3 linked regions of the Oryctolagus cuniculus genome follow. The protein of the gene in region 1 purifies or fractionates together with the protein of each later gene. This does not show direct contact. Links are inferred from orthologs where the notes say so. Each region holds a gene or a part of one and is shown in the gene's direction. Other genes may lie near its edges. The genes, in order: MAPK9, DUSP8 and DUSP16.

What was found.
Region 2: the proteins of MAPK9 (region 1) and DUSP8 purify together in Homo sapiens (affinity purification with mass spectrometry; 4 studies listed by BioGRID and IntAct, with this or other methods). This does not show direct contact. The link is inferred for Oryctolagus cuniculus from reciprocal best matches to the Homo sapiens genes MAPK9 and DUSP8.
Region 3: the proteins of MAPK9 (region 1) and DUSP16 purify together in Homo sapiens (affinity purification with mass spectrometry; 6 studies listed by BioGRID and IntAct, with this or other methods). This does not show direct contact. The link is inferred for Oryctolagus cuniculus from reciprocal best matches to the Homo sapiens genes MAPK9 and DUSP16.

What each region holds. Positions count from the first base shown.
Region 1 is NC_091437.1:67,210,145-67,220,188, forward strand, and holds the start of MAPK9 (mitogen-activated protein kinase 9), read left to right. Parts: upstream 1-4,723; 5' UTR 4,724-4,917; intron 4,918-10,044. UniProt on the Homo sapiens protein: Serine/threonine-protein kinase involved in various processes such as cell proliferation, differentiation, migration, transformation and programmed cell death.
Region 2 is NC_091432.1:1,913,658-1,923,065, forward strand, and holds part of DUSP8 (dual specificity protein phosphatase 8), read left to right. Parts: 5' UTR 1-45; intron 46-110; exon of another isoform or gene 111-346; intron 347-932; exon of another isoform or gene 933-4,060; intron 4,061-4,385; 5' UTR 4,386-4,467; coding exon 4,468-4,698; intron 4,699-6,048; coding exon 6,049-6,187; intron 6,188-7,227; exon of another isoform or gene 7,228-8,309; coding exon of another isoform or gene 8,310-8,364; intron 8,365-8,475; coding exon 8,476-8,642; intron 8,643-9,166; coding exon 9,167-9,326; intron 9,327-9,408. UniProt on the Homo sapiens protein: Has phosphatase activity with synthetic phosphatase substrates and negatively regulates mitogen-activated protein kinase activity, presumably by catalysing their dephosphorylation.
Region 3 is NC_091440.1:110,208,111-110,218,279, reverse strand, and holds the start of DUSP16 (dual specificity protein phosphatase 16), read left to right. Parts: upstream 1-5,115; 5' UTR 5,116-5,254; intron 5,255-5,449; exon of another isoform or gene 5,450-6,387; intron 6,388-10,169. UniProt on the Homo sapiens protein: Dual specificity protein phosphatase involved in the inactivation of MAP kinases. Dephosphorylates MAPK10 bound to ARRB2.

The sequences.
Region 1 (10,044 bases):
CTAGGTTCAATTCCACCAGTGAGAGGCACTCATGGGACATCTGGAAAGAGTGAAGGAACAGAAATCACAGATAGTCCCGAACTGACTTAGGATGTTTAAAATTTATACCGGTGCAAACAGTATACACATTCAGCAGAAACTGTATAATACTTAAAGAGTTGTTTCATCCTTAAGTATGGTACTCAATAAATTACATGATAGTCAACACCTTGTGTTGGATGATTTTGCACAACTATAGGCTAATGTGTTCTGAGCATGTTTAAGGCAAGCTAGGCTAGGCTAGGCTATGATGTTAGGTGGATTAAATATTTTCTTGTTTAAAAAAATATTTATGGGGCTGGCACTGTGGCACAGTGGGTTAATGCCCTGGCCTGAAGCACTGGCATTCCATATGGGCACCGGTTTGAGACCTGGCTGTTCCACTTCCAACCCAGCTCTCTGCTATGGCCTGGGAAAGCAGTAGAAGATGGCCCAAGTCCTTGGGCCCCTGCACCCACATGGGAGACCTGGAAGAAGCTCCTGGCTTCAAATCGGCATAGCTCCAGCTGTTGTGGCCAACTGGGGAGTGAACCATCGGATAGACAACCTCTCTCTCTGCCTCTCCTTCTCTCTGTGTAACTCTTTCAAATAAATAAATCTTTTTTAAAAAAGTATTTATTTATTAAAAAGAGAAGAAGCGAGAGTCTATCCACTGGTTCACTCCTCAAATGCCCTCAAAAGCCAAGGCTGGACTAGGGCTGAAGGCAGGAACAAGTCCTTGAGCTATCATTTGATGTCTCCCAGGCACATTAGCAGAGAGCTGGACCAGCAGAGGCAGCTCTAAATCCAAGGCACTTTAATATGGGATGATGCAAGAGTCCTAAGTGGTGGTGGTTTAACCCACTGCACCACAACTCCTGCCCCTGGATTAAATGCAGGGTTTTTTTTGTTTTTGTTTTTTAAAGATTTAAGAGTTACAGAGAGGCAGAGAGAGAGAGAGAGAGAGAGAAAGAGAGAGAGAGAGATCCTCCATCCACTGGTTCACTCCCCAGATGGCTGCATCAGCCAGAGCTGGGCTGATCTGAAGGCAGGAACCTGGAGCTTCTTCTGGGTCTCCCACATGGGTGCAGGGGCCCAAGCACTTGGGCCATCTTCTACTGCTTTCCCAGGCCATAGCAGAGAGTGCGACTGAAGTAGAACGGCCAGGACTAGAACTGGCACCCATATGGGATGCCAGCACAGTAGACGGCAGCTTTATCCACTACACCACAGCACCAACCCCTAAATGCACTTTCTACTTAGGATAGTTTCAACTTAGGGTGGATTTACCCAGACTTATCCCATTGCAAACTGAGGAGCATGTATATTTGTTCCTCTTCTGACAGAGGCAAATAGAAATGCTGCTTCAGGGGCCAGTGTTACAGCACAGCAGGTTAAGCCACTGCGTATGATGTCGGCATCCCATATGAGCACTGGTTTGAGTCCTGGCTGCTCTACTTACTATCCAGCTCCCTGCCAAAGCACCTGAGAAAGCAGGTGGGCCATGTCCTTGGATCCCTGCCACCCATGTGGGAGACCTAGATGAAATTCCAGGCTCCTGGCTTTGACCTGGCCCAGCCCTGGCTGTTGCAGCCATTTGGGGAATGAACCACGGGAATCAGGGGATGGAAGGGATCTCTGGCTCTCCATCTCTCTCAGTACCTCTGCCTTTCAAATAAAAAAATCTTAAAAACAAAAGAACAAATGTAGGTCCAACTGACAGGAGGTTCTACTATGGCCCTTTGGTACTCCCAGCAGCAATGGATGGAGATGAACAGATTTCCTGTGGCTCCTCCAAATCCAGCTCAGGAGAACCAGTGGGAACCGGAAGCCACGGCAGCACTCCCAGACCTCCATCCTTAGCGCACCTAACAAATTAATGAGGGACTCCTGCCAGAATCCCTCTTCCTAAGCAAAGCACAGCTGATACAACGACTGAGATGTTTGATCTGGGTGAGATCTAGAAAATGTGTCATCCTCACGTCCAGGAGGCAGTGGCCATCCTGACTTTTGTGCTCATAGTTCTCTTGCTTTTCCTCAGTGTTCCACCTCTGTCACCCAGGCATCGATTCAACCAACCACGGATCAAAAATATTGGAGGGGGGGCAGTGTTATGGCATAGCTGGCTAAGCCACCACCTGTGTTGCCAGCATCCCATGTGGGCACCTGTTCAAGTCCTTGCTGCTTCACTTCCAATCTGGCTTCCTGCTGATGTGTCTGGGAAAGCAGTAGAAGATGGCCCAAGTCCTTGGGCCCCTGCACCCACGTGGGAGACCTGGAGGAAGCTCCAGGCTCCCGGTTTCAGCCTAGCCCAGTGCTGCCCTCTGCTGACTCACTGGTGGGTGTTTGTCCTCTGTTTTCAGAACTAGGCCATCCCATTGTCCCTTGGTAGAGGAGCCCGCAAATGTCAAAACCTACAAATGCTCAAGTCGCTTCTGTAAAACAGGATGCTATCTGCAGAGAACCCAGGCACACCCTCCTGTGTACTTTCAATCATTTCTAGATTTGTTGTAATACCTAATGCAACATGTACATATCACATATTTGAGTGGGTTGAGCACAGGTGTACTCCTTGTCTGGCAAATTCAAGTTTTGCCTTTTGTAATTTTTGGAATTAAAAAGAATATTTTTTAAAGATTTATTTTATTTGAAAGTCCCAGTTACAGAGACAGAGAGAGAAAGAGACCTTCCATTCACTGGTTCACTCCCCAAATGGCCACAATGGTCATGACTGGGCTAGGCTGAAACCAGGAGCCTCGCATGGGAGACCTGGAGGAAGCTCCTGGCTCCTGGCTTCAGATCAGCTCCCCTCCGGTCACTGCAGCCATTTGAGAAGCGAACCAGTGGATGGAAGACTTCTCTCTCTGCCTCTCCTTCTCTGTGTAATTCTTTCAAATAAATAAATCTTTTTTAAAAAATGAAATACATCAACAAGTGCTCTGGGTTAAACCAGAGCTGTCGGAGAGCTGAGTCCTTGTGCCACAAATCAGCAGTGCCAGTTCACCCTCAGGCCCACAACTCTCCAGTCCGCTTGCCCCATCGCCAGCAAGACCAGGTGACAGGTTCCTGAACATAGCACATGGCTCCTCATTGCTCAGCCTCGGGGCCCAAGTGCCCTCTCTGCCTGCCCAGCCTCTGCAGGGGCTTCCTCCTGTCTGGAAGTTCTGCTGCTGCCCCTGCTTCTCCCTGGCTGGCAGGTACGACTGGTGTCAGTCACACACATGAGTCCTGCCTGGCTCATATCACGCTTGCAGGCCTCAATCAGGATTCTCTGTGCCAGACCAGCTGCCCTGTCCCACGTCCCCCCAGCTCTGTGTCCACAAATGTCTACTGTGTTGGACAAACCAGGAATAACCAGAATTCTTACAGAAACCTCAGTGACATATGCCTAATTGCATAAGCACAGACAGCAAACTTAGGTTACTTACCGTGCACCGGGTGACTGCTAAAAACCAGGCCCAAGTGCCTCTGGAAATCCACTGTCTCTTCCCAGCCTGGGGGGATGTGTCTATGCACATTTGCTCCTTGTTGGGACCTCATCTCTGATAGCCCGGCTTTTACTAGTTTCTCATCTTTTTCAGTAACGGCAATTTTAGGTTCCCTGTTTTCTCCTGAGCAGCTAGCTGAGGCAGGTGGCAGGAGCCCACCAGATGGGTCCATTTCAATGCAGACCACGTTCAGGAGCCGGGATTAGTGATACTCAATTTTAGAAAACTCCCCCTGGCGGCCATGGGAGGACACCACGGCTAGATCCCGTTCTCTGCCCCACCCCTCCTCTGAGGCCGTGGTGCCTGCACGAGCCCGGCCCTTCAGAACCTGGGTCACAGGCTCGCTTCTCTCCCCAGATTCTGCAACACTCCACCCCAGACCTGCAGGGTCCTGCTACTCCCCCTGCTCTGTGGACCTCGGCGTCCCGGGACTGCTGCCCCAGCTCCTTACTCACCACTTATCAATCACGGTCCCCAACTCTATCGGTGCCCGAAATCCGACGCCCCTAGCCCACGACTGGCCTCGGAGCTTTTCCCTCGGGGAGCCCCGCCTCCGCCCCTCATCCCAGCTGTACTTGTCCGGTCCCTAGGGGGCCCTTCTGCTCCCCCTGAGCCCTGTCAGCCAGCACACTCCCTCCTGCTCCTGTCGGCCGGGAAGACTGGTGCACGACGGTCATCTCCTCGCACCCTGCGCCTGAACCCTGACCTTTGGCCGCACCCCTAAACCCGTCCAGTGGGGCGTGCGTGCGGCACGTCCGCAGCGAGCTGAGTCCCAGGCGCCGCGCCTCCCTCCTCCTGTCTCCTTCCAGGTCGCCTCGCTGCTGGGCGCCTGCACCTGCAGCCCCGGGGCTCGGACCCACGAGTAGCCCCGGTCCTGAGGCGCCGCGCCTCGCCTGCGGCCCATCCTCTCTCGCCTCCTCCCGGCTCGGCGTTCGGCCGCAGCTCTGCGGACCCTCTTTGCCCGGAGAGAGGGGTCATCGGGCGACCTCAGCCACGCCCGTCTCTCCAGCCCACTACACGCCGCTACACGCCGGCACTGCCCCACGCCGCCTCCGGACCCTGCACCAGACCTCGGACGCAGACCCGGCCTGGCCTGGCCCCGCCCGAGTCGCCCGACAGCGGCCCGCCCCCTAGCGCGATTGGCCGCACCCGCCGGGCTCTCCGCGCACTGATTGGTGGAGTCACGGATCGGTCAGGCCGGGCGCCGCGGCGGCGGCGGCGGCGGCGGCTGAGGGGAAGGGAGCCGACCGGAAGGGTCGAAGCGCCCCGCGCCCCTCACACCCACTGCGGCGGCGGCGGCGGGGCGGAGCGGGGCGGGGCGGGGCGGCCAGCCTAGCCGGGAGCGGCCAGCGCGCAGCGCCGCCAGTGCGCCCGCCCGCCCTCTACCCCGGCGCGGCTGCAGGGAGGCGAGGTGAGCCCGAAGGGCTGGCTAGGCCCGGCGTGGGTGCTGGGGTCGGGCGCGGCGGGGAGCGGGGTGGGCGCGGGGCCTCTGGGGCCGGGCCTCCGGGGCTGGCGGGAGCCGCGGGGTTGCTGGCGGGCCGCAGCCCCTGCCCGCCCGTGCCGCAGTCGCCCCCTCCCGCCCGCTGCCAGCGGCGAGGACCGCGGAACCTGGCCCCGCAGACCTGCCCGCGGGGGTCTGTGGCCCCCTCCTCCAGGCGGGCCGCGCAGCTGCCCTCTCGCCCCGGATGCTCGGTGGTCCCCGCGACCTTGGATTAGGCGCTGGCTGCCCCTTCGGGAAAGTGGGGCCATGTCTGATCTTCAAGACTGGGCTGTCTGTGGGAGCACCTGGACGCAAGTCTGTGCACACTGGTGGACTATAGGGCCGGATACTGCCCCTTGCTGGCGTGAGTGTGGTGGGGGCCCCCTCCCCACCCATCCTGTGCCTTGTCATTGCGCGCCCAGTGCTCAGCTACGCGGAGCAGGCCCTGCCCACCACAGCTCTTCCCCAGAGCACTGCTCCCTGGGCCCGCTAATCCTCCCACCTGCCAGGAACTTGCTAACCTCCGTGTCCCCGGGACTTTGCACCTGCTGCCTCTCCTGTTTACGTCGCGTCCAGGACCTTTTTGTTCCTTGCTCTGTCCAGATGTCTCATTTTCAGCGAGGCCTTCCTCGGCTACCCTCTGCAAGGGATCATTCTGTCTTGTTATTTTGTTTCATTTTCTTCCTAGCACTCTGAGTTGAAACTGTTCTATTTATTTGCCTCTCCTTTTCTGTCTTCCCCCACTAGGCTGTAGCTTTCTGTAAACAGGTAGTTGTCTGATTTGTCTGCTTTCTCCTGGTACTTATAGAAAGCATACAGTAAGTATTTGATAGTCTCAGTTCAGCGAATGAATGAATGATGTAAGGAGCGTGCCTACCTGTTGTCTCTGCTTTACCTGTTCATTTAGTGACTTCTGAGTGACTTGTGAAACTCGGAAGCTTGTTCTCATTTTGTAGAACATCTTAACGTCCTTGACCTCTTTATTTGGTAACTATGGTAACGAGCTATGATATAAAATGTTACATCTTTATAATGGTTTAGCTCTAACGACCTCCTAGTAAATCCAGGAGACAGCCACTGAATTCTCCATTATCTAGGTCATGCTTTTTGCTGGGCCCTAGGGACACAAAGGAGAGAGCGACAGGGTCCCTTCCCCCAGAGAGCCTGGGAGCCCCGTGGAAAAGGCATGACGCACAGGGTTGGTTCCAGGACAGTGGATGATGCCTGCGGAAGGGTGGAGCAACAGGTGGTGCTGGTGGGCCTCCACGCTTGCCAGGCCAGGAGAGGTGCAAAGAGTGTGAAAGGGCAGGGCCAAGGAAGGAACCTAACGCTGTGTGGCGTTGGCCAGGTGTGGGAGCGTGTAGTGGTGGGGACCCTGGAGGAGGAGCCCCTCGCCCAGCAATTTTCTAAAAGAAGCTTCAATCCACAGTTGCACCTGCACTCTCCTGATTTCTCAATATTGGCAGTAGCTGTTTGTTGTTGTTGTTGTTGTTGTGAGCCTAGCCAAATACAGACCTCATTCAGCCTGGTTGCGGGATTGTGGTCCTCCAGGACGGACTGTGGGTGGGAGCCCGGCCTGCTCAGGTGCTTACTGAATTGTCCCTGGGGCCCTGGAAGGAGCAGCGAAGACACCTGTTTTCACAGAGGAAGAAAAGCCCAGAGTCCCTGCTCTGCAGCACAATCCCTCACAAGACGATGCTTCCCTGGGGCCCCCAGCCCTGCCTGTGCTCCTCTGGCTTCTAATTCGTTCTGAAACAACAACACTCAATCTGTGTAATGCTTTCCTCCATTTAACCTTTTATTCTCTTCAGAAGTAACCAGTGGGGTTAAAAAAAATCCTATTTTGGCATAGACTTCTGTGGAAAGCTTTCATTTGCCTGAGGATTTAACTTTCAGGATCCTGGGACTTTAAAATAATTTAGTGAAAGGGCATAACTTTGAAATAAGTGTTAAAGAGTAGAATTGAATGTTTCTATTTAAAATAAAATCAGGTTTCTGGCTAAAATATCAGGCAAAGTGATTGTTAGTAACCAGTTATTCCCTGATGTCTCAGGTAACCTAGAAGTCAGGGATTTTTCTTAAGAAGTGCTGATTTGGCTGCAAGGCAACTATTTTTGGTCTAAATATGTACCTGGACTTCACACTTGGCAAGAAAGTTTCCATTTTTATATTTTTATCGTTAATTCTTTTTTTTAAAGATTTATTTTTATTTATTTGAAAGAGTTACAGAGAGAGGTAGAGACAGAGAGAGAGGACTTGGGCCATCTGCCACTGCTTTCCCAGGCCACAGCAGAGAGCTGGATGGGAATTGGAACAGCCGGGTCTCGAACCGACACCCATATGGGATGCTGGCACTGCAGGCCAGGGTGTTAACCTGCTGCACCACAGCGCTGGCTCCCACCTAATAATTAATTCTTAATCATTTGTACTTGATTGTATGAACAAGGTTTCAGCATTAGTCTTTTAACTGTTTATGATAGTGACTCTGAAAAGACACAAAAAGAACGGTATCCAGCTTCAACAGTTAGAAACCCTGGCTGATTTTGCCTCATTGGTAGCCTCTTATCTGTACACAGTTACCTCCCGTATTTTTAAACAAATCCTAAGTGTTATTTCACCCATGAGTTTTTCATTATATACTTGTATATCACTAAGAGGTAGGGACCCGAGGCTGGTGTGGAGGGTAAAGCTGCTGCCTGTGACGCCGGCATCCCGTATGGGCACTGATTCGAGTTCCTGGCTGCTCCACTTCTGATCCAGCTCCCTGCTCATGGTCTGGGAAAAGCAGCAGAAGATGGCCCAAGTGCATGGGCCTCTGCCACCCATGTGGGAGATGTGGATGAAACTCCTGGCTTCCACCTCGCCTAGCCTGGGCAGTTGTGGCTATTTGGGGATGAACCAGCAAGTCAGACTCAGGGTGCACTCCTGTGCCCTGGCCTCCTGAGATAAGCTGGGCTCTTCCCTCTGGAGGTGGCAAGAATCGTGTCTATCCCCATTTCTCAAATGGCTGCAGGCATGTGCTCTGGCTCACTCAGATCAGTAGCAGACCCACAGGGGATCTGACTCTTGCATCCTGATTTTAACCATTGCCCCATACATTTTTTTTTCCCCACATAGTTTTATCTTTGAATAAACATTTACTGGGCATGCCCTTTAATAGCAGGATATTGAGAAATAGGTCAGACGATTTTCTCTCATAAGGAGCTCACAGGATGGAAGCAAGAGTTTCACTGGTGGTACAATAGAAAACAAGTTCAGGACAAGGCAGGGAAGAGGGCACATCCTGCATACCGTGAAGGGAAAGGCTGTGGAGGGAAACGCAAGAGCGGCAGGTGCTCAAAAGAGAATGCAGGTTACCCAGGAGCAGGGGAGGGGAGGGGAGTCATTTCAGGCAGATGGAGCAGCTGAGGTAGAGTCCTGAAGGTGTCCAGTAGCTGGGCGGGGCTGCTGACCCCAGGTGGCTGACATTGCCCAAGAGCAGATCAGAGGGCCTGCCGTCTCCCGTGCTGTGCTGATCAGGATTCCAGTCTTCCTGAAGGAATCCAGGGAATGGTATGATTGCTGCATATTTTCAGCAAATCTCTCTCTCTTTAAAATTCTCTATCTTGCAAAAAGTATAGATTCATGAGAAGTTGCAGAGACAATACAGAGGGGTCCCAGGTGCCGCTCACCCAGTCTTCCCCCTGATTGCATATTTACTTAGCTCAGTAGATATCAAACAGCAGGAAGTTGGCTCTGGTGTAACGTGTGTACAGCTTATTGCCATCACATGCGGCTATTCATGTGACAGCCACCACCACCACAATCAAGACATGGAACTGTTTTGCCCCACCCCTTTATAGCCGCACCGTCCCTAGGCCCCCACCATCCACAACTCCTAGCAACCGCCTTATCTCTCCTGTATCTCTGTAATTTTGTCATTTCAAGAATATGGTATACATGGAACTATATATATAGTATATGTGTATATATATATATATATATATATGACTTGGGATTGCCTTCTTACCCTTGAGTACTGCCGTGCCTCAGTACCCTCAGGGGACTAGGTTCTAGACACCCCTCCACTCCCGCCACCCAGATACCCAAAATCCATGGGTGCTCAAGTCCCTTATAGAAAATGACATAGCATTTGCTAGCATGCACCTATCATCCCGTGTAAGTCATCTGCAGATGATGTGGAATACCCAGTGCGATGTGTTATGTAAATAGTTGTACTGTATTGTTTAGAGAATGGCAACGAGAGAAAAGTCTGTCCGTGTTCAGTACAGTTTCTGAAGACATTTTGATGTGCTGTTGATTGACTCCATAGGTTCAGGACTGTGGGATGTCCTTGAGATCCCCCTTAGTGTAGTGTGTGTCTTCTTAAGGATGGGAAGTATCCCATGATGTGGCTGTACATTCACCCATTGAAGGACCTGGTATAGACAAAGCTGCTGTGATAGTCGTGTACAGGTTAGCGTGTGGACAGGCCTCCCTCCATTCCTCCCATTTCGAACGCCGTGCTGTGGCTGTTTGGAAGTAGCAGGAGTTGCTTCTGAGAGAGCAGTTCTGCTGCCCATCTGTGGAGTGCTGAGAGCAAGGCCAGAGAGGAATAACAAGAAAGCCCAGGTCCCTTTGAGCAGGACAGGAGGCCGGGAATCACACTCGCTCCTTGGAGCCCATGATGGGTGAAGTGAAAACCAAATGCTACTTGATTTTCTGTCTTGCAGTAAATGATATAGCTTTAAGAACTGATGGTTCAAGAGGCTAGAAGGTCTTGATTGTCTAGGAACTGTTAAGTTGTTGTGTTAAGCTATTCATAAGAATTAAAATAGGGCAGTGGAACCACTAAGAAATTGAGCAGCGGGTGCTGAAGCAGAGGGATTGTGAGAGTCTGCTTTTCCCTGTGACTGGCCGTCAGTTAATTCAATAGTGTGTGTCCTGAGTATTCGGGAGGCTGCTGTGACTGAAGGTGTACCTGAGCGTCATCTTGGCAGGGAGAACCCACCAGGGTGAAATGGGAATGCCCGAGTGTCTCCTGCTCCTCTCCGGCTCTGGGACACACAGCTTCACCTC
Region 2 (9,408 bases), on another chromosome or scaffold:
ACGCGGCACGGGTCCCCGGTGCGCCCCGAGGAGGGCGGGAGCGAGGTGAGCGGGGCGCCGGCCAGGACGAAGGCGGGGGGCGGGGGGGGACGGCTGAGGGTGCGAGAGGCGGCGTCCGGGCGGGGCCGATCGACGCGGGGCGGGAGAGCCCGGGGACCCCGCGCCTGGAGGGCGCCGGGGAGCGGGCGGCGGGCGCAGAGCGGCTCGGGCCACAGCGCACAGCCCTACCCGGCCCGGATCGCGAGGCTGCCGCGGACCTGGAAGCCCTGCCCCCGCCGACCGCAGCGCGCCGCGGACCCCGACCCGGTGGTCGCTTGTCGCCTGCTGCCGGCGACTCCTCCAGACGGTGTGTGTGTGTGGTGGGGGAGGAGGGTGAATACAACGGAGACCCAGAGGGCCACTGGAGGTCCAGGGTGGACCTGTCGCGCGCACCAGGGCACCCTCGTTGGGGGCCGGAATTGGAGACAGTCGCCCGGATCCTGAGCGGGCCGGGGGAATGCGGGGTCCTGGCCTTGGGCTGGGGAGGACCCAGAAGAGGGCTCCTTCCACGTCCACAGGGCTGCAGATCCCGTCTCCCTCGGGCCGGGCCGCCCGCACCCCGGCGCGCGCTCTACTGGCCTCTGCGGAATAAAAGACCCGCGTCTGCGCGGTACTGGGGGAGGGGCTGGCACGTCCAGGCTGCCCACGGCCGCCTCCCGGGCCATCTCCTGCCTAGGGAGGGGAGGGCGCAGCCCAGGTAGGGTACCCCAAAGTCTGGCGTGCGGGGGTGGGGGCAACAGCAGGCCCCGCACGCACCCCCACCTTCCCACTGACTGCTGCAATGGTGTCGCGGCTGCGGCTGGGGGCGTTGGGGGCCGTGGTGCCGCAGTGGCGGGGCTGCGAGCCCTGTGGGGGTGGAGGAGGGGCGGCTTGGGTGGGGGTGGGGTGCCGCAGGGTCCGAGAGGGAGCCCCGTCTCTGGCCTCGGTGGGGACCCAGAGCACCCTCAGAGCTGGCTCCAGGGCAGCCGGGTATGACGACGCCAGGCCTTGCACAGGGAGGACAGAGTCCTAGGCACTCTCCCCAGCTGATAACAGTACACACACACACACACACACACACCCGGGCCCGATCATGTGATCAGGGCTAGGCGTTCTTTCTGAAGTCTGGCTGGAGCACCTCCCTCCTGCTGCTTGCTCCCTCGTCCCCAGGGAGCACTCTGGGACCAGGGCTCCCCAAACAGAGATGCCCCAAGGTGCTTGCCCTCAGTCTGTGGCCCAGGGTCTCTCGCAGCCCCATCCTCCGCCCAGGCTGCGGCTCGGCGGTGCAGGTGCCTCTGGGAGCCGTCAGCTCCTGCTGGGGGAGCTGTGGTCAGCAGAAACCCTCAGCTCTGTGGGACTGGAACGGGCCAGGTAGGAGGGGAGCAAACAGGTATGGTCAAGTTCCCAGCTTCCGCTTCCACCGGCCCTGTGCGGAGCCCTCCCACCCCAGGCCCGGCCTGTGCCCCGCTCCAGGGCTCCCAGGGACTTTCCGTGCCACTCCCCCCCACGGCCATCTCCCAAATCCATGGCCTCCCCAAGCCCAGGCTGGCACTGGTGGGCATTGCCACTGGCCCAGTCAAGGTTTAGAGAGACCGGGGTGGGGGGCATGCTCACCCCTGGGAACCGCAGGGGCAGGTGCACTGGGGCAGTCTGGAGAGAGGGGATGGGGCGGAGCCGGTGGCATCCCTGAGTGACAGCGTCGGCAGACACTTCGGCATCCAGGTCCCTCCACTGCTGGCTGCCTTCCGAGGCTCTGCCTAGGTACGAGCCACAGCTGGTGACCCGCTGAGCCTGCCAGACCCAGCCCTGTCTCCCCGTGGGCCTGCCGTCCTGGCAGTGGCCGTGTGAGGGTAGTGAGCTCCCTGTCACTAGGCTGAGCAGCGGGGAGCTGGGGATGGCCCCGGCACTCAGATCGTTGCTGGCCACTCACTGCCCAGGGACGTGAGTGTCGCCCATGGAGGGAGGCCTTGCGTGTGGGAACGGGGTGTGTGGGCTGCCCTGGAGCTCCCCCCCCAGCATAGATGTCCCCGGGTTCTCAGAAGGTTCTGAGGACGTGTGTGCAGCAGCACGTGTGTGCCTGGATTCCCCACACGCGTGTCTAATTGCACGGGAGACCCCGTGGGCTGTGGGCAAGAAGTGAGCACCAGCCCCGCGTGCAGAGTCAGTGCACAAAGGGGTGTGTTCTGCACTGGAGCCTCCGTGCTGTGTCCCTGGCCTCTGGGAGAGGGGCCGGGAAGGCCTCCTGCTGACTTTGGACTTGGGAGCCGCTTTGGTGAGGGTCTCAGGTCGGGCCTGGGTTCCCAGGAATGAGGCCCAACAGAGCTTGCGCCAGAGCTGGACTCCTGTCCTTGAAAGTGGAGACCCGGGCCGAACGGAAGCCCATCTGACCTGTTCTGCACCGGCTGACCTGCCCGGGCTGTGCCGAGGGTCTCCGCTCCCCCACCCCCACCTGCTGGGGCCCTCATCTGTAGCATCCGTGGGAGGCCAGGGGTGAAGGGTCTGCCCTCCCAGGCCCTGCAGGAGGAGCCTCAGCCCAGCCCCTCCATGCAGAGAGAAGGCTTCTGAGGGGGTAGATGCAAGTGGGCTGGGAAGCACCGGGTAGGGTAGGGCTGGGGGTCACCACGGGGTCCCCGGCCTGCCGGCAGAGGCAGCGGGTGAGGACGGAGGAGGATGACCTGCCCACTGCAGAGGATCCTGCTGGCGGCTGCAGCCGCAGGAGCAGCCGTTGCCTGGTGCCTCTGCTGTTGCCATGGCGACAACGGAGGTGCTAACTTGCTAATGAGTCCCCTCGGCTGCAAATAACAATACTAGGGTGGTTAATAGGGCCACGTTCCAGCGCGAGTGTTCCTGGGGAGGCAGGGCCAGCCAGGTACGAGGCCCCAGAGCCAGTCCTCCCGCCCCCCTGCAGCCCCTGCCCCCAGCCTGCCTTGTCGCTAGGGCTCAGGTGCCCCCCTCCGCTGGCCTCGATGCCCATCGGTAGATCTGCACCCACGTCGGGCAGTGTGGATGCCAGGCCCTGTGCTGGGGGTCCTGCTGGCTTCTGTTTGAGCTGAGGGACAACCTACCCACTTAGCAGATGAGCACATTGAGGCTTTGGCTCCCTGGTGTCCCCTCCCCACTATGGCTCTCTCAGGTGCTGGGCAGGGGTGGGGGTGTGGAGGGCAAGTGGCTGTGGCCTGTCACCACTTCCAGGAGTCACCTCACTGGGCAGGGACCCCCTCAGGGCAGAGATGCCCAGGGCAGGCAGGGACCCCTCAGTGGACCGGGAGCCCCTTGTAGGTGCAGCCTGGAGGGCAAGTGTCTGGGAACCGACCCCTAATCCTTGCCCACCGCTCAGAAGTGCCACGTTCCTCAGTAGATTTACCCTGTCTCACTGGCCCACGGGGCAGCAGGAGGCACCCCAGGCTACAGGGGAGGTGGCGGGGACTGGACACAGAGACCCCAGCAGGCGAGCAGAGGGGCCGGGGCTCACCGCGCGGAGGGGCTGGGAGCTGCCCCAGCAGTGGGCAGGGCATGCCGACCTGGGGTCAGCTGCATCATGGCTGCTATGGGTGACATGTGGACATTGTGTTTCTCCTACTGCTGCCTTGAGCCTCAGTTTCCCGTAGTTAATTCAAACTGTGTCTCCTTGGGGGCTGTGAGGCTCGGGTGGGCCTAGAGCAAGGCCAGTCCTGGCAAGTGGTGGGGAGCTTGGGCCCTGCAGGGGCGGGGGCGCAGGGGCTGCCAGGGGCCCCAGATACCAAGCTTCCTCCTACTTCCTCCATGCACCCCTTAGCCTGAGGGTGTCTGAAGCCATCTGAAAGCCCCGGCACCCCAAGCATCCCAGGTACACTGACCTTGGTCCTAAGGCTGCCCTCACTCTGTGAGGCAGGAGTGGCCCCCATCACAGTGCCCAGCCCTCCCACCCTCCTCCAGGAGCCCGTCAGTCCAGTCCCCACTGTGACCAGGATTATCGGCTTAGGTCAGCCGCTGTGCACACTAGGCTGGTGGTGGGGAGCAGGGGAGATGCCGAGGCGGGGAGAGGCAGGTTGGAGTGCGACAGGCAAGTTCTCTGCTTTGCCAGGGGCCCTGGGAAGCCTCGGAACCAGAGAAGGGAGAGGGCTGCATCCAGGTGTGGATGAGCCGTCCTGGAACTGTCAGTCAGTGAGCCCCAGGGCCCCGTGGAAGCTCCCCCTGGCCCGACCCGGCCTGAGACCACCCACCTGGCCCCGCCGTGTCCTGCTGAGAGGCCTGCAGGATAGCTGGGCAGGGCTCCCACGGACCCTCCCAATGCGATGAGGCCTCAGGTCACACTCGGGGAGGGGGGCCCCTGACACTGGTGCATCCCTGGAGCCCCGGGAGCTCTGACCGCCCTCTTCTCCCCTCAGGTCTGCTGCCATGCGCTAGGGCACTCGGGACGCGAGGCCACACCCTCCTCACTCCGGGGGTCAGCCTGCCCACTGCCCCACCATGGCCGGGGACCGGCTCCCGAGGAAGGTGATGGACGCCAGGAAGCTGGCCAGCCTGCTGCGGGGCGGGCCCGGGGGGCCCCTGGTCATCGACAGCCGCTCCTTCGTGGAATACAACAGTTGCCACGTGCTCAGCTCCGTGAACATCTGCTGCTCCAAGCTGGTGAAGCGGCGGCTGCAGCAGGGCAAGGTGACGATCGCCGAGCTCATCCAGCCGGCCGTGCGCAGCCAGGTACCCGGCCGTGGCCGCACCGGAGTCCACAGCTGAACGGGGGCCTGGGACCAGGCAGCGAAGCCGGGCTCCAGGATGTCACTGGGGAACCTTGCCCCCACTCCCCACGTGCTCCTCAGCACTGCAAGGTGTCTCCTCCAGGGAGGCCCTCCTGCCGCATCTCCCCAGCCCCCTCTTTCCTGAGCCTGCTGACCCCACCTGGGGGTCCCGGGCTCCCCGAGTTTGCCTCCAAACACCCAAGGCAGGTCGGTGCCCCCAAGGCCCAAACAGGGCTCAGAAAGGAGCCTGCTGAGTAGAGGGAGGTGGGACCACGCAGGGGTACAGCTGGACGCAGCTGCTCTGACCTGTGAGGACAGGGTGGGGGGCTGGCAAGGGGACTGCAGTCTTTAGGGAACATTGTCCCAGCTCGTTCCTCCCCAGGACCGCCCAGCTAAGGGGGCCAGGAGGCCGGGGCCGGGGACCCGTGCAGGTGCCCCCCCCCAGGCCTCCGGCGGGGCACGGGGCACATGTGGCAGCCCGGGACCTGGTCCCAGGTGGGACGGTGCATTTGGCTGTGCCCCCACTCCAAGCCACAGCAGGCTCCCTGCCGCTCCAGTGGGGGGAATCTGGTGATTAATCACCCCCAGCGAGGACTCCAGGCCGGAGTGTGAGCCTATTGGCTGCTGGTGACATCATCCAGCCCGGGTTGGCGGCTCAGCTGGCTTAAGGGCTGAGTGTGCTGGGGTGGGGAGGGGGGGTGGCCGCTGCTCTCTGAGCAAAAGCCGCTTAACATCTGGCCCCATGGCCCCTCCCTCAGAGTGGGGGAGGGGAGGAGGAACCCCAGCCTCCAGCTGCTGCCTCCGGAGTGGGGGTGGGAGACACTCCTGCTGCAGCCCTCAGGGTCTCCACGGGGCTGAGGAGGGAAGGAGAGGCCCAGCAGCTCCAGCGAGACCCCCACCCAAAAGACTTGCCCAACTCCTCTGCCTGTGCCCAGGCCCCGGCCATGTGCCCTGTCACTCTTGGTGCCCAGCAGGTGCACCCCCCCCCAGCCATCACCTGCATCTGCTTGACGCCAGCCTGGCCACAGGGGACACACGTGTCCCCCCTCCCCTGTGTGGCTGGAGAGGGCACGAGCCCTCTCTGTGCCTCCCCGACCCTGTGGCTATCTGTGTGGGCCTGGACATTTATACCTATCCAGGTGTGAGCACACCTGTGCCCCCAGCAGGCAGAGAGTGTGTGGGCGTGGGCAGGGCACCTGCCATCCCCTCAGGCAGCAGCCCTTTCTTTGGGCAGGGGTGGGTGGGTGGCAGCAGGGGGCTGGGCTGTCAGACAGGTGCAGGCAGCCCTGACCGCTGCCCTCACGGCCCCCAGGTAGAGGCCGCGGAGCCGCAGGACGTGGTGGTCTATGACCAGAGCACGCGGGACGCCAGCGTGCTGGCCGCCGACAGCTTCCTCTCCATCCTGCTCAGCAAGCTGGACGGCTGCTTTGACAGCGTGGCCATCCTCACAGGTGAGCTCCGGGGAGCCTCCCTCTCCGCAGCCCCCTTGCAGCGTGGCAGGGCCCGAGGGCGTCTGCGGAGGCCACGTCTGTAGGGGCCCAGGCAGGAGAGCAGGGGGATCCCTGAGAATGACTCGCTTGTGCAGGGGCGAGCGACCGGGAGAGACCCTCTCTGGGAACCCCCTGTGAGCTGGGACCGGTCCCACCCTGCTGCCCAGGGGCCAGTACAGGGCTCCAGGGTCTACACATGGCCTGGCCAGCCAGCCCCCCCACACGTCCATGGAATCCCCTCCTGGAGGTGGCCCAGGTCCCAGGGACACACCTCCTCCCCCGCATGGGTCTGGGGTCTTTGTTGACGCTCATGCCCTGGCCTCTGTGTACCAACCACAGGGCTGTGGCAGGCGGAGTGGGGCGTGTGGAAGGCTGCACACGGTGTCTCCACCTCCCATACACACACACCAATGGAGGCACTGGGCTCCTGACAGGTGCAGGCACAGCTGGGCCAGCCCTCTGCCTCCGGCGGCCAACAGGAGTGGGACCTTCCACCCTGCCTGTGAGGGAGGCTGCCCAGGGGCCTGAGCATCATCTGGGAGCCTTGGGCGGTGGGCAGGGGTAGGGTGACACAGGCTGCCCCTTCTCCGTGACTGTAGTGTGAGTCGAGGGCCTCACCCCTCTAGGCCAGGGTGTCTGCAGGGTGGTCGTCACCGCACGCGTGTACCCGCGTCTGTGTGCACTCACGTGCATTCCACCTCTGGTGTATGCACCTTGCACCCATCTCAGGGGTTTGCATGAACTCCTGGAGTACCTGGGGGCAGGAGCGCCTTCCCAGGCCCCAAGGAAGGCCACGGCCTAGGACCGGCCACTCATTCTGGCCTATGCCCCTCCCTTGTCACCTCAGCCCCTCCAGGACTGGCGCCCAGAGCTCCCTGGGTCTGGGGGACAGGGGTTCCGCTGGGATTCCCCATGCCTCTCACTTTGAGGGGGAGGGGAGGGCAGGTGGGGAGGACAGTCCGCAGCCCCTGTCCCTCCAGGGGGCTGACCTCCGGCAGGCATAGGAGGGGGTGGCAGTGTCCGGGGCCCCACGGCACCCTGCTCGGCGTCTGGGGGCCGGGGACCTGGGGCAGCCCTGCTGCCTACAGTCACGCTGTGCACCCGGCAGCCTCCCGAGGAAGGGACCGCTTCTCCCCATCTCCAGGGTCCCCCAAAGTCACGCCTTCCTTTGCGGCACACGGGCTCTCCGGCAGTGCTGGGCTAGGGATGACGGCCAAGCGCCTCAGCAAACCTCCAGGTCCCCGGCACAGCCTCCTCCGGGGGACCTGGGACCCTGCCTCTTCCCAAGGGGTAGCGAATGCCTCAACTTAGAAGCAGCAGCCCACCTGCTGGGGTAGGGGTGGGGCTGGTATCCCCAAAATGTGAACAGCCCCAGAAGTCACCAAGCAGGTCTCGGCTCACCCTGTCACGAGCTGACGGCTACTGCCTGGTTTCTGGTGTGAGTCAGTGGTCACCCCAGCCAGGACAGGTGTGTCCAGGGCCACTCATACAGGACAAGGAAGCCGAGGCCAGAGGCGTGCTGTTCGTGGGCACAGAGTCGGAGGCACCAGGACGGGCTGCGAAGCGCCCCTCCACCAGCCTGTAGCCCAAGACTCGGCGGCAGGGCGCGTGCCAGCTGTGTGCAGAACCGGTGCCCACTGCTGCCCTGGGCACTCCTGCTGCCCCAGGTGCCTCTGCGCCTCTGTCTTCTGCTGGAGCAGAGCCGCGGCCTGACCACAAATGCCCCTGCCGGCTGTGCCAATCCCACGGGGTGATGTCATGCCCCAGGGGGAGGAGGTCCCCCACAAGCACTTGCCTCGCAGTCCTGGCACCCAGGCCAGGGCCTGGGGCTGTCGGCCAGCTGCAGGCAGGGAAGGATTGCATCAGCTCAGGGTAGGCCCGGCCTGGCCACAGGCCTGAGTGCCAGAGCTCGGAGAGGCTCCCGCCCCCACCCGAGACCCCCACGGCCTCCGGGTCCAGCACGTGCCGTGCTGGCCACCTCCAGCCCACATTTTTATGGGCATCACAGCAGCGTCGTCCGCGGGGCCAGCCCCTAATTAGCGTGGGGAGGAATGTGGGTGTCGTCTCCCGGTGCAGACTGTAAATGCTACAGCAGGTGCCGCCCGCCCGGAGAGAGCTGTCCTCCGGCCCGAGACCAGGTGCTCAGGCCGGGCGCGGGCCGGGGGTCCCCCTGGGCATGGCTGAGCCCTGCGTGGATGGGGACCTTGTGCTGTGTGGCCTCACGCGTCTCCCTCTCCCTCCTCCCGCAGGGGGCTTTGCCACCTTCTCCTCCTGCTTCCCCGGCCTCTGTGAGGGCAAGCCTGCTGCCCTGCTGCCCATGAGCCTCTCGCAGCCCTGCCTGCCCGTGCCCAGCGTGGGCCTCACCCGCATCCTGCCTCACCTCTACCTGGGCTCTCAGAAGGATGTCCTCAACAAGGTGTGTGCACAGGGCAGGGGGAGGGGGGCCGTGGGAGCCCGGGCAGCCTCACCCAGAGGGGTGGTCTGGGGAGGGGCTGGGGCCAGCCAGGCTCCGATAGATAAGCTCAGGTTGGGGGCAGAGGCGGCCCAAGGCTCCCCTCCCCACCCCACCCCGCACAGGAACACACAGGGCTGGAGGAGGGGCCTAGCAGGGCGGGCATGCCAAAGTGCTGATGTCACCGGGCCCCTGGCCAGCTCTGAAAGACTCCCGTGTTTTAAAAAGCAGTGACAACCGATGGACGGGATGGGACAGGAAGTGGGGGGGGCGGGAGCCAAAGCCACCACCCAGGCAGCCATGAAATGCCTGGGCAGGGATCAGAGAGGTGGGGTGGGGACTCCCCACGCCCTCAGACCAGGAGGCTCTCCGCGCACGTTCTGAGCCCCAGGAGCCCCCAAGATTCTACAGCCCTTCCCTGCCGCAGGAGAAGGCCACCCCAGGGCGTCCCCCTCCCCACCCCCTGCTGACCCGTCCTGCCCTGCCAGGACCTGATGACCCAAAACGGCATAAGCTACGTGCTGAACGCCAGCAACTCCTGCCCCAAGCCCGACTTCATCTGCGAGAGCCGCTTCATGCGCATCCCCATCAACGACAGCTACTGCGAGAGGCTGCTGCCCTGGCTGGACAAGTCCATCGAGTTCATCGGTGAGGTCTGCGGCCAGCGGGAGGGGCGGGGCCGCCGGCGCGCCCGGGGGCGGGGCCGAGGGTGCCCAGCCCGGGAGCTCAG
Region 3 (10,169 bases), on another chromosome or scaffold:
TGTTCTTCCCCCATATTTAAGTGTAACTAAAAACAATACTAAACTATACACTTCCGTGTGTACACAGGGCTTCAAAAAGCTCATGGAGGGGTGGAAGTTGGGTGCAGTGGTTAGGATGCCTCTTAGGATTTTCCCATTCCACATTGGAGTGCTGAGTTTGTTTTAGTTCCTGTAGTTCAGATTCAGCTTCCTGCTTATGTGCACCCTGGAAGGAAGCAGACGATGACTCAAATGCTTGGGTCTCTCCCACTCACATAGGAGACCTGGCCCAGTCCTGGCTGTTGCAGGCATTTCGGGAATGAACCAGCAGAAGATCTCCCTCTCCCCCTCCCCCTCCCTTCCCCTCCCCTCCCTTCTCCCCTTATTTCTCTCTCTCTCTCTTTCAGACAAAGAAATTAAAGTTTGAGGGCCAGTGCTTGGGTGTAGGGGGTTAAGCCGCTGCTTACAGTGTTGACATCCCACTTGGATGCCAGTTCAAGTCCAGCTGCCCCACTTCTGATCCAGCTCCCTGGTAATGTGCTTTGGAAAGCAGCAGAAGATGGCCCAAGTCCTTGGGCCCCTGCCAACCACACGGGAGAACTAGAAGAAGCTCCCGGCTCCAGGCTTCAGCCTGCCCCAGCCCTGGCTGTTGCGGCCATTTGGAGAGTGAATGCAGATGGAAGATCTCACTCTGTCTCACCTTCTCTCTCTGTAATTCTGCCTGTCAAATAAAGAGTTTTTAAAAGTTCATGGGGAGGGCCGGCGCCGTGGCTCACTAGGCTAATCCTCCACCTAGCGGCGCCGGCATACCGGGTTCTAGTCCCGGTTGGGGCACCGGATTCTGTCCCGGTTGCCCCTCTTCCAGGCCAGCTCTCTGCTGTGGCCAGGGAGTGCAGTGGAGGATGGCCCAGGTGCTTGGGCCCTGCACCCCATGGGAGACCAGGAAAAGCACCTGGCTCCTGGCTCCTGCCATAGGATCAGCGCGGTGCGCCGGCTGCAGCGGCGGCCATTGGAGGGTGAACCAACGGCAAAGGAAGACCTTTCTCTCTCTCTCTCTCTCACTGTCCACTCTGCCTGTCAAAAAAAAAAAAAAAAAAAAAAAAAAAAAAAAAAGAAAAGTTCATGGGGGAGAAGGCATTTAGCCTAGCTGTTAGGGCGCCTGGATCTCATATCAGACTGCCAGGATTCAATTCCCAATTCTGGCTCCTGACTCTAACTTCTCCCCAGTACAGACCCTGGGAGTCAGTGGTTATAGCTCAAGTAATTGGGTTCCTGCCACTGACATGGGAGACCTGGAACAGATTTGTTGGCTCCTGGCTTGGCCCCAGGCCCAGCTCTGACTGTTGAGGGCATTTGGGAGGAGAGAACCAGCTGATGGTTTTCTCTACCTGTATCTCTCTGCCTCTCAAATGAGTAATTTGAAAAGTTTATGGAAAATTCTCATTATCTTTTCATTCTATTTCCTCTCAAACTTTGTGAAGCCCCTTGTGACTTGTTTCTAGATTATCTTGTTTTCAGGTCTGGGACCCTTTGCTTTGCTGGTGCCCTAAGTATATCAGCTGTTCACCTGCCTTGGGGAATCCAGCCCTCAGTCATCACTCTAAATGTGGTGGAAAGCTGGTTTAAGCTCGACTATGACCTTCAAACAGGACATCTTAATGGTAAGTTAAACATGTCCCCCAGGTATTGAATTTTAATTTCTGTTTCCACAGTTGTTAGCATGTGTAGAGGGTTTTTTTTTAAAAGTAGAACAAGGAGAAATATACTCTTCAGTAAACTCATTCAATGTTTTCTCCTTAACCAGCTTGACTAGTAACAAGCTATTTATTCAAGTACCTTCCTAGTGAGTCTCTCAATGTCTTAAATTTAACTTTGCTTCTAACCGCTAAGCCCTCCTCTCTACTACCACTGCAGATGTCTACCTGTCTCTCACCTGAGCGCACCTTGTTTCTTTCATCCTGTCTTTGTTCATGCTTTTCCCCTTTGAGAATAGTTCCATCCACTGACCCCTTCACCACAAACTAAATATTTTTAAACTATTTTTATTTATTTGAAAGGCAGAGAGACAGAGGCGACAAAGATCATCCCTCTGATGGGCCAAAGCAAGGAGCCCAGGACACAATCTAGGTCTTCTACATGGGTGGCGGGGACTCAAGTGCTTGAGCCATCCCCTGCTGCCTCCCAGGATGTGCACTAGCATGAAGGAACTGGGTGTAGAACCGACACTCTATCATGGGATGTGTTGTTCCAAGAGGCATCGCAACCGCTGAGCCAGATGCTTGCCTCGCAAGCTAAATCTTACTGTCCTTCAAAGCGGGGTGGAGGTGGGGGGGATGAGGAGGGCACTACAAGCTCTTCGTAAGATGTCTTTCCTCATAGTCCCAGTCTACATTGTTCCTCGTGACTCTTTTAGCACATATTGTATGCCACTGAAGTGTTGGCTTTTAATGAATTTTAAACCATGTCTCATTTCTCTAATTAGACTACACACACAGGGGAGGCTTCCATAATACCACACCCATGGAAAACATTCCAGCTGAATTGTATCTGTGAAGAAGGGGCAGCGAAGGAAGACTGTCACTTAAAGGAATGTTTGTAAAGGGTTCTGCTGCTTTCCTAGTTGCACTTGCAGGAACCGGATAAGAAGTGGACCAGTCAGGGCTCGAACTGGCGCCCATATGGAATGCTGGCATTGTAGGCAACGGCCTAACCTGCTATGCCACAGCGCTGGCCCCATAAAGGGTATATTCTACCATAGATTCATTTGAGTCTTCCATTCAGGCAAGATCCATGCCTTCCACGTCTCTCAAAATCCCAACATTTTGGAACAGTTGTTTGGCACAGTGGTTAAATGCTATCTGGGACACTACGTTCCATATTGGAGTGCAAGGTTTGAGTTCCAGCTCCCTGCTAATATGCACCCTGGGAGGTAGCAAGTAATGATTCAAGTGGTTGGGTGCCTGCCACCCATATGGGAGACCTGGCTTGAGTTCTAGGTTCTCAGTTTTGGCTTGAACCAGTCCCAGCTATTGTGGGCAATTGAGGAGTGAACTAGTGAATAGGACATCTCTCTCTCTTTCAAAGAAATTGGGAAAAAATGCAACATCTTCAAATAAGTGGATTTGAGATGTAGATCCTTTCCATCCAAACAGTTCTAAAAACGATAGGCCTATGTTTTTAGTTTGTGTCCCGAGTACAGATAACCCTAAAGATGCTGCAGTACCACCTCCTGGCCACCAGAGGACCCGGAGCAGCCGGAGAGATCGCTTCCCCTCCACAGGCGTCTTCAAAGGGTCAGAGGCTGGAGGTTGGTTTTCCTCTGTGGCCTTCAGGCCTTGCCTATTGCCTGAAGGGCTGGGCTCTCTCCCACCTCCAAAAGCTGTCTCCCTCCCCACCCACTGTCCCCCTCTAAAAGACAGACTTACCTCATTATCCCAGAGGCTTACTCCATGACCCTAACTTTATATCATGATCAATTCTAAGGAATGCACTTCAGTTGCGGAATTTAAGTAGTAAACAGAGATGTAGCTTCTTTCCAACCCCCGCCAAAACCTGCTTAGTCCTTTCCCCGATTAATGAGAACGTCCCCGAGGCAGCGTCCACGTGGAATACCCAGCACAAACAGCGATTTTAAGGGCCAACGTCCCAGGTCTGCTGCATGGCAATGCAATGCTTTAAGAGCGATGATTCCTACCCATCGATCTTGTCCCCCCCCCCCCCACGGTGCTTTTCCGTCATTAATCACATCTTTGTTATGTGATATCCACGGGAGGACTGCTCAGTGGCGGCAGCTTCACGCTCAGATGCTCAAAGAACCCTGGAATAAAGCTCCGATTGTCCTATTCAGTGACTCCTAGTCCTACTTTGTCACCATCTCAGGGCTCTTTCCGAAGTGCGCAAAGTCTCACAACAAAGCTATTTCAGTGACTTTAAACAAAACATTAACAAGCTTCAGGTGCGTGGAGTTCGACCGCCGAGGGTCTTGCACCTCACAAGTGGCAGTGATTTAAAGCTAATTCTGCCCTTGCCTAATGTTGAAAGCGACAGCTAGGCTGCTTGTACTTATATTAGTAAATACAACCCAAATAAACGTAGGAACATTCATGGGGCGCGGTGGGGGGGGGGGAGGCGGGTTGGGGGTGGACGGTATGCCTAGGACGAGCTGAATGCCTGACAACCCTTGAGTGATTTTACTTCAAGTACCTGCAATTTCTCTTTCCTGCCATTTGGATTCCGGAGGCTTTTAAAGAGAGATTGCAATTCCTTTCAGTCCTTGTTTGCGTGTCTTTACATTGCCCGGGCAGCAGGAAGCAGCCCAAGGAGGAGCAAGAGGCGCTGAATCTGGCTGGGTGAGGGGAACCCTCAAATACCGACTGCGGCGCGCGCGGCCGGGACGTCGGTGGCCGCGAGCCTGCGGGACGGGGGGAGGCGGAGGAGGAGGACGAGGCTGCGGGCCGCCTCCTCGGCCAGCGCCGGCTCCTCCCCGCAGCGCCCGCGGAACCTGCCTCCGAGCGGCCCAAGGTCTGGCCGGGAACGTGACCCGACCCCTCCCCGAGCTGCCGAAACGAGGCGCGGAGCCGCGCTCCCGGCCCGGGCGGCCGCGGGATGGGCTGGCGGGCGAGCGCGCGGCCCCGCCCGGCGCCCACCGCCCTGCCCTCGCCTGTCTCCTCCTTTCCCCGGGGCTCCGCTGAGTTCATTCACTGGGATTGGTTTCAAGTGACGCCATCTCTTTATTTTTAAACCAATGACCTCATCCGCGCTTGAAGTTTCCTGACCAGCGACTCTTTCTCTTTCCCCAACCCCCCACCCCACCCCCCCGCCTTTCCCCCTCTTTCTGTGTATCCCTGTTTGGGGGGCTTTCGCCAATTTTTAAAGGATTATTAGCACCTTCCCTTCCCCCCGCCGTTCTCCCCGCGCGGCCCCCCACCCCCCAGCTTTCCCTCCCCAAGTTCTTCACCCCTCTCGACATTTTTTTTTTCCTGAAGGCTAACTGGGGAGGGGGGTGGAAGAGAAAGAGTGAAGAAAAGTTGCAAACGTCTCCTCGCTTCTGAGTCTCCCGCCCCCACCCGCCCCTCCGAGGAGGAGAAGCCTCTGTGGTGAGAGCCGAGGAGCCGGACAGAGCGACGGACGGGACGGGTCGCGAGCGGCCCCGCAGCCGCCCTCCCCGCTCCGCGGCGGCGCCTCGCGAGCCCGGGAGGCGAGGGGGCCCGAGGGGAGACGCGGTGACAACGCTCGGTTCTCTCAGAGGGGAGTCGGGAGGCCGGCGGCCCCAGAAGTAAGTGGCCTCGGCGGGGCGTGCGGACGGGAGGGTGCGGGGCTCGGACCGGCCGGCAGGGCAGCATGGACGCTCGGCGGCGCGCCCCGACTCGCTGTGCCGGGCGCCGCGGGCTCTGCCTGCCCGGGCGTCCCGGTGGGGGCGACCGCGGCCCGGAGCCGCACGAGTGTCTGACGCGGGGGTGTAGGCCTTGCTGGGGGGGGCCAGCGCCAGCGGGAAGAGGGGCGTGCGGGCAGGCGCGGGGGCGCTCCGTGCGTCCCCGGCGCGGCGGGCTCGGCTCGAGCCGACCCCGCGGAGCAGCAGCGACGGCGGCGGGACTCGCGGCACCTTCGCGGGCGAAGCTGCTCACTTCCAGGCGCGACTGTTAAACAACACGCCTGCCAAGTGGGGCCCCGGCCTGACTGTTCCCATTATCCCAAACGCGCTGGTGGTGCAGGCAGCGAGGCCACCTGGGTGGTGACCGTGCTTTCTTAAATGAAGCCAAGCGACCCCCCCCCCACCTCCCCGCCACCCCCAGACCTCAGTTTTCATCCTGGGGCTCGGGTCGTGGTGTTGAGGGGGCCCGGCGTGCCGGTGATTTCTTTACCACTGCTGTAAAACGTGAGAAATTAAAATAGCCCAGGGAGGCCCCCGAGGATCCGTGTATCAAGTGTAGTTCCAGGCAATAAAACAGTACAGTGGGGGAAAATCTATGTGCAAAACTACGTTTTCAGGTGCTGGGTTTATTTTCCCAAGAAAAGCGGTAATGAGCCTTGGGGGTCCGGGGGCGGCGGATTGCAAGTCGATCTTAAAATGAATGGACACTGCAAAACCCCTCAAGGGGCTTATTCCAGTGCACTGCGAGGCTCCTGGGCGGGTTCAAGTCCCCGGTGTCGCTGGTTGTTTGGAGAAAGCACACCTGATTAGCCCATGAGGAGTCAGGTAGAGGAAAAACCTGTTGCATAACCTCGTTTGCTGTGAGGTTTGCTGTGCCGGCCCCTTGAACTAAGGGGAAGTGAGTTAAGATGCGGGGTTTTAAAAACACGGTGAAGTTCTTAGTTACCCAGGGGCCTGGCTGCCACTTGGCTTTGAAAGATTATAGGTAAATACTCTGCTCGTACCGAACCTATCCAACCTGTTCAGAGAATGACCAGGTATGTTTCTGTCTTCTTTGCCTTCCGTGTGTGTGTGTGTGTGTGTGTGTGTGAGAGAGAGAGAGAGAGAGAGAGAGAGAGAGAGAGAGAGAGAGAGAGAGAGATTGATTTACCATCCATGAAAGACCTTGTGACTATTTGGGGAACTGGGACTGTCAGAAAAATGCTGCTTTCTGCCATTCACTGTATGGCACTGATTGAAGGTACACGTAGGTGACAAGTGTTTCCTTAAAGGATTTGTACTGTTTCAACTCCATCAAGAAAAGAGAGCTTCACAGTGAAGGGAAATTTTCAAGAGAAGAAAAGCCTTCTTACCAATTAAATTAACTATTTTTTAAACTGTTTACTTTTCCTTGAGGATGGCATAGGTGGGTGGACCCAGCTCGGGAAGCTGTAATTAATTAAGGCTTATGGAGTTCTGCGTTTGGTGAAGGTAGCAGCTTGTAAAGTAAATTGAAAAACTAAGAGTTTATCAGCTTTGGGTGGGTGTTCTGATCAAAATGTGACTAGGCACTGTGACAGTTTTTGTTTTTTGAAAGAAAGTTGTGGGATTCGCTGAGTATGAAGACTGGAAGATTGCTATTTAAAAAAAATTTTTTTGTTAACATTTGGCATATTATGTAAATAATCTGGGTTAAATAACACCAACTTCCAAGGGTTGGTTTTTAGGTAAAATGTTTATACCTATCAAGGTTCCACAGAGAATTAGAAATGAGTATGTTCAATCCTTAGTGAGTACATGGAAATACAAGGGTACTTCAGCACATTTGTGGGGGAAAAAGGAATTAAATGACAAGTGTTTTGGTGCAAATTTTTTTTGAAACACCTTGTTTTTCATAATAGCATTTTCCATGAACTTTTTGAAGATCCCTGGTCAGTAGGTTCAAGCACACTATAAATCTACATTCAGATGTAAAAGATATGTGTGAAGTGTGATACTGATATTTACAGATTTTTAGTTTTAACTCTGGTAGGTCAGAACCTCCAAGTAAAATAGCTGATCTGGCTTAAAAGTGTACTTAACTTTTATGTAAGTGTTTGAGATTATGCGTAATGATGGAGGAAGCAAGGAACAGACAAGGAGTTACCCTGTTGGCTCTCTTTTCAGTTTGAGAGGACCTTTTTCTTTGCTTCAGTTTGGTGAATGCATTTGAATTCCTGTAAATTAAAAATCATCATGGAACTTTGGGAGTTAGGGATCTCTTTGTCCAAAAGCTTAATGGTAATAACTGAGAAAGGGGCAAAAGAGAGCCTGTCAATTCAGTTCTTGTTCTTTTTCCTAAACATCTAAAATTATTTGTGGCTTGGTAGGAATAGAAGTGAGGCTGAGATCAGGATTCAAGAGTAGGTATGAGGAGAGTGCAGTTTAAGCTGGGATCATTAGAAATGACAGGGCTGATGTGAGTTTGTTTTGATGCTGTTTTCTCTAAGTGCTTATATTGGGAAATTCCATAGAATTTTTAGTGTTTGGGATTCATTTATTGATGCACACTTACGTAGTTGTGTTTAAAGTTTTTCCTATTTTCAACTAATCATAAGATCTTAACTGTAATTTGTTAGAATTACCACCGTGCTTTATCCTAGAACCCCAAGTTTCTTGGAATATCTGACAAAAATGATTTTGTTATGTAGACATTGTGTTATGTAGACATTGAGTGTTTTTAAAATGCTTTGCATTCTAAAGCAAAAGTTACTTTTGATCCAAGAATAAGTTTGTATGGGATAAATTGATTTGGATCAGAAAGTCAAGAAAAGTAGTGGATAAATCAGGGAAAACAGAAAACAGATTTTCAGCAGATTGAAGGAACAAGTTAAAAAGCAGAGTTGATACTTATTTTTTAAATTGCATCAGGTTTTAAAACTGAGGGACATAACCTGCCATTGTAAAAAACATCTTGCTAATGTTGACATAAGCAAAAAAAAAATACAATGAAGACAGTTTTCCCCAAAGCTACATATGATATATTCCAAAGCCAGATGTCAAACTTTTTCTGATTTTCTTGTATTGTGGGTTACCTTTTTATATATTTCATTAGCCCAGATAGCCAAAGATTGGCTTGTGTGAAGGGAGATTCCTAAGGTTGGCCAAATTTAAAGAGACAGGCTCAGGCTTTACAGACTGGTTGGGGGAGGGATGTTAAGTTTAATCAAATAAATGGGGAAATCACAGTACCTCAGAAGAATAGAAGACAGATTACTGAGGACAGGTACAAAGAAATAAAAGCTTGCCAGAGGCATGATAATTGAAGAAGGAAATGGGATACATTTTGACTTGAAAGGCAAAAAAAAAAAAAAGATGGAAAAATACCCTTTGTTTGGAGTTGGAAACCTCATTAGGTATCACCAAAAATGATAAGATTGTTTTATTATATAAAAATTTAATCTTGGCAAAGGGGGATAAAATAAACTATGAGCATAAATTATGTGAGAATATAAAACTTGATATTGTCAGAGATAAATTTAAAATAGAGGGAGACTGCCATTTTACTGCCTATTTTGAGTTATTTGGAAGGGAGGAATCAGTTTTAAAGTTGAAAATAGTAACTTGATTAAATGAATTTCTGGATTAACTGCAGACATAAAGCAGTTAAGTAAAATGTTTTTTAGTGGTAATCTATTTGCATGTGCTGAGGTGGATCCCAGGAGTTGGGGACAGTTTCATGTACTTAATGAGCAAGGTTAAGAATGTTAAGAGAGGTATATATATATGCCAAGACGAACAGTTACGAGACAGCTGGTAAGTGCAAAATTGATAGTATAAAGAAAAAAGAAATTGGAAGGTGCAGGGAGGTAATCTTTGTGGAAATAGTAGAATTTGACCCTGGCCTTAAATGATAGTTAACGAGTGTGAGGAGCAGGGAAATGGAGGCGGTCAAAGAAGGAAGCTATTCATTTAATCATGAATGGATTATGCTGGGCATGTACTAAGTGCTAGACACTGGCCACACAGTGGAACATAAGATAGAGGTAAGATTTTTGCCCGTGTGACATTAATAATCTAGTGGGAGAAGACAGGAGGACAGTAACAAGTAAACAATACTTGAAAAATCTGAATGTCAGAGTCAAGGGAACTATAGAGAACTCCTTACAATTCCATCATGAACAGTATTTATTAAAAAGGTTGTTGAAAAGTTTGTGTGTGTGTGTGGGGGGGGCAGGCTTACGGGCCAGTTAAGACACAGTTTGGGACACCTGCATCCCATGTTGGAGTGCCTGGATCCGAGCTCTGCTCCTGATTCCAGCTTTCTGCTGATATGTACGCTTGGAGGCAGCAGGTGATGGCTTCCGTACTTGGATCCCTGCCAACCACAAGGAGACCCTGATTGAGTTGTAGGTTCATTTTCTGTGTCTTGGCTCAGTCCTGGCTTTTGCCTCATGATGTGTGGGGAGTGAACTCGTGGATGAGATCTCTTTCTCTTTCTCTTTCTCTCTCTCTTTCTTTCTCTCTCTCTCTCTCTTTCTCTTTCTCTCTCTTTCTCTCTCTCTCTCATATCTACCTCTGACTCCCTATATTTCATAAAAAACAAAATTTTAAAAAGTCTATAATTCTTTGCTATTTACTAAGTCATTTTTTTTTACAATAAGGTTAATAACACTGTTTACTGTTAGGGTTGTGTTGGGTTTTATATTTAGGTTAGATTCTCCATTGGAAATAGTAATCAAAATAATGCTATAGAGTGAAGCTAAATTCCCAGGACAGTTTGTTTTGTGTGAAGGCTCAGAAAGCCTAAGATGCGCAGATAGTATAAGTAAGCTATTGGGCTTACTTACAGATAGGTTAA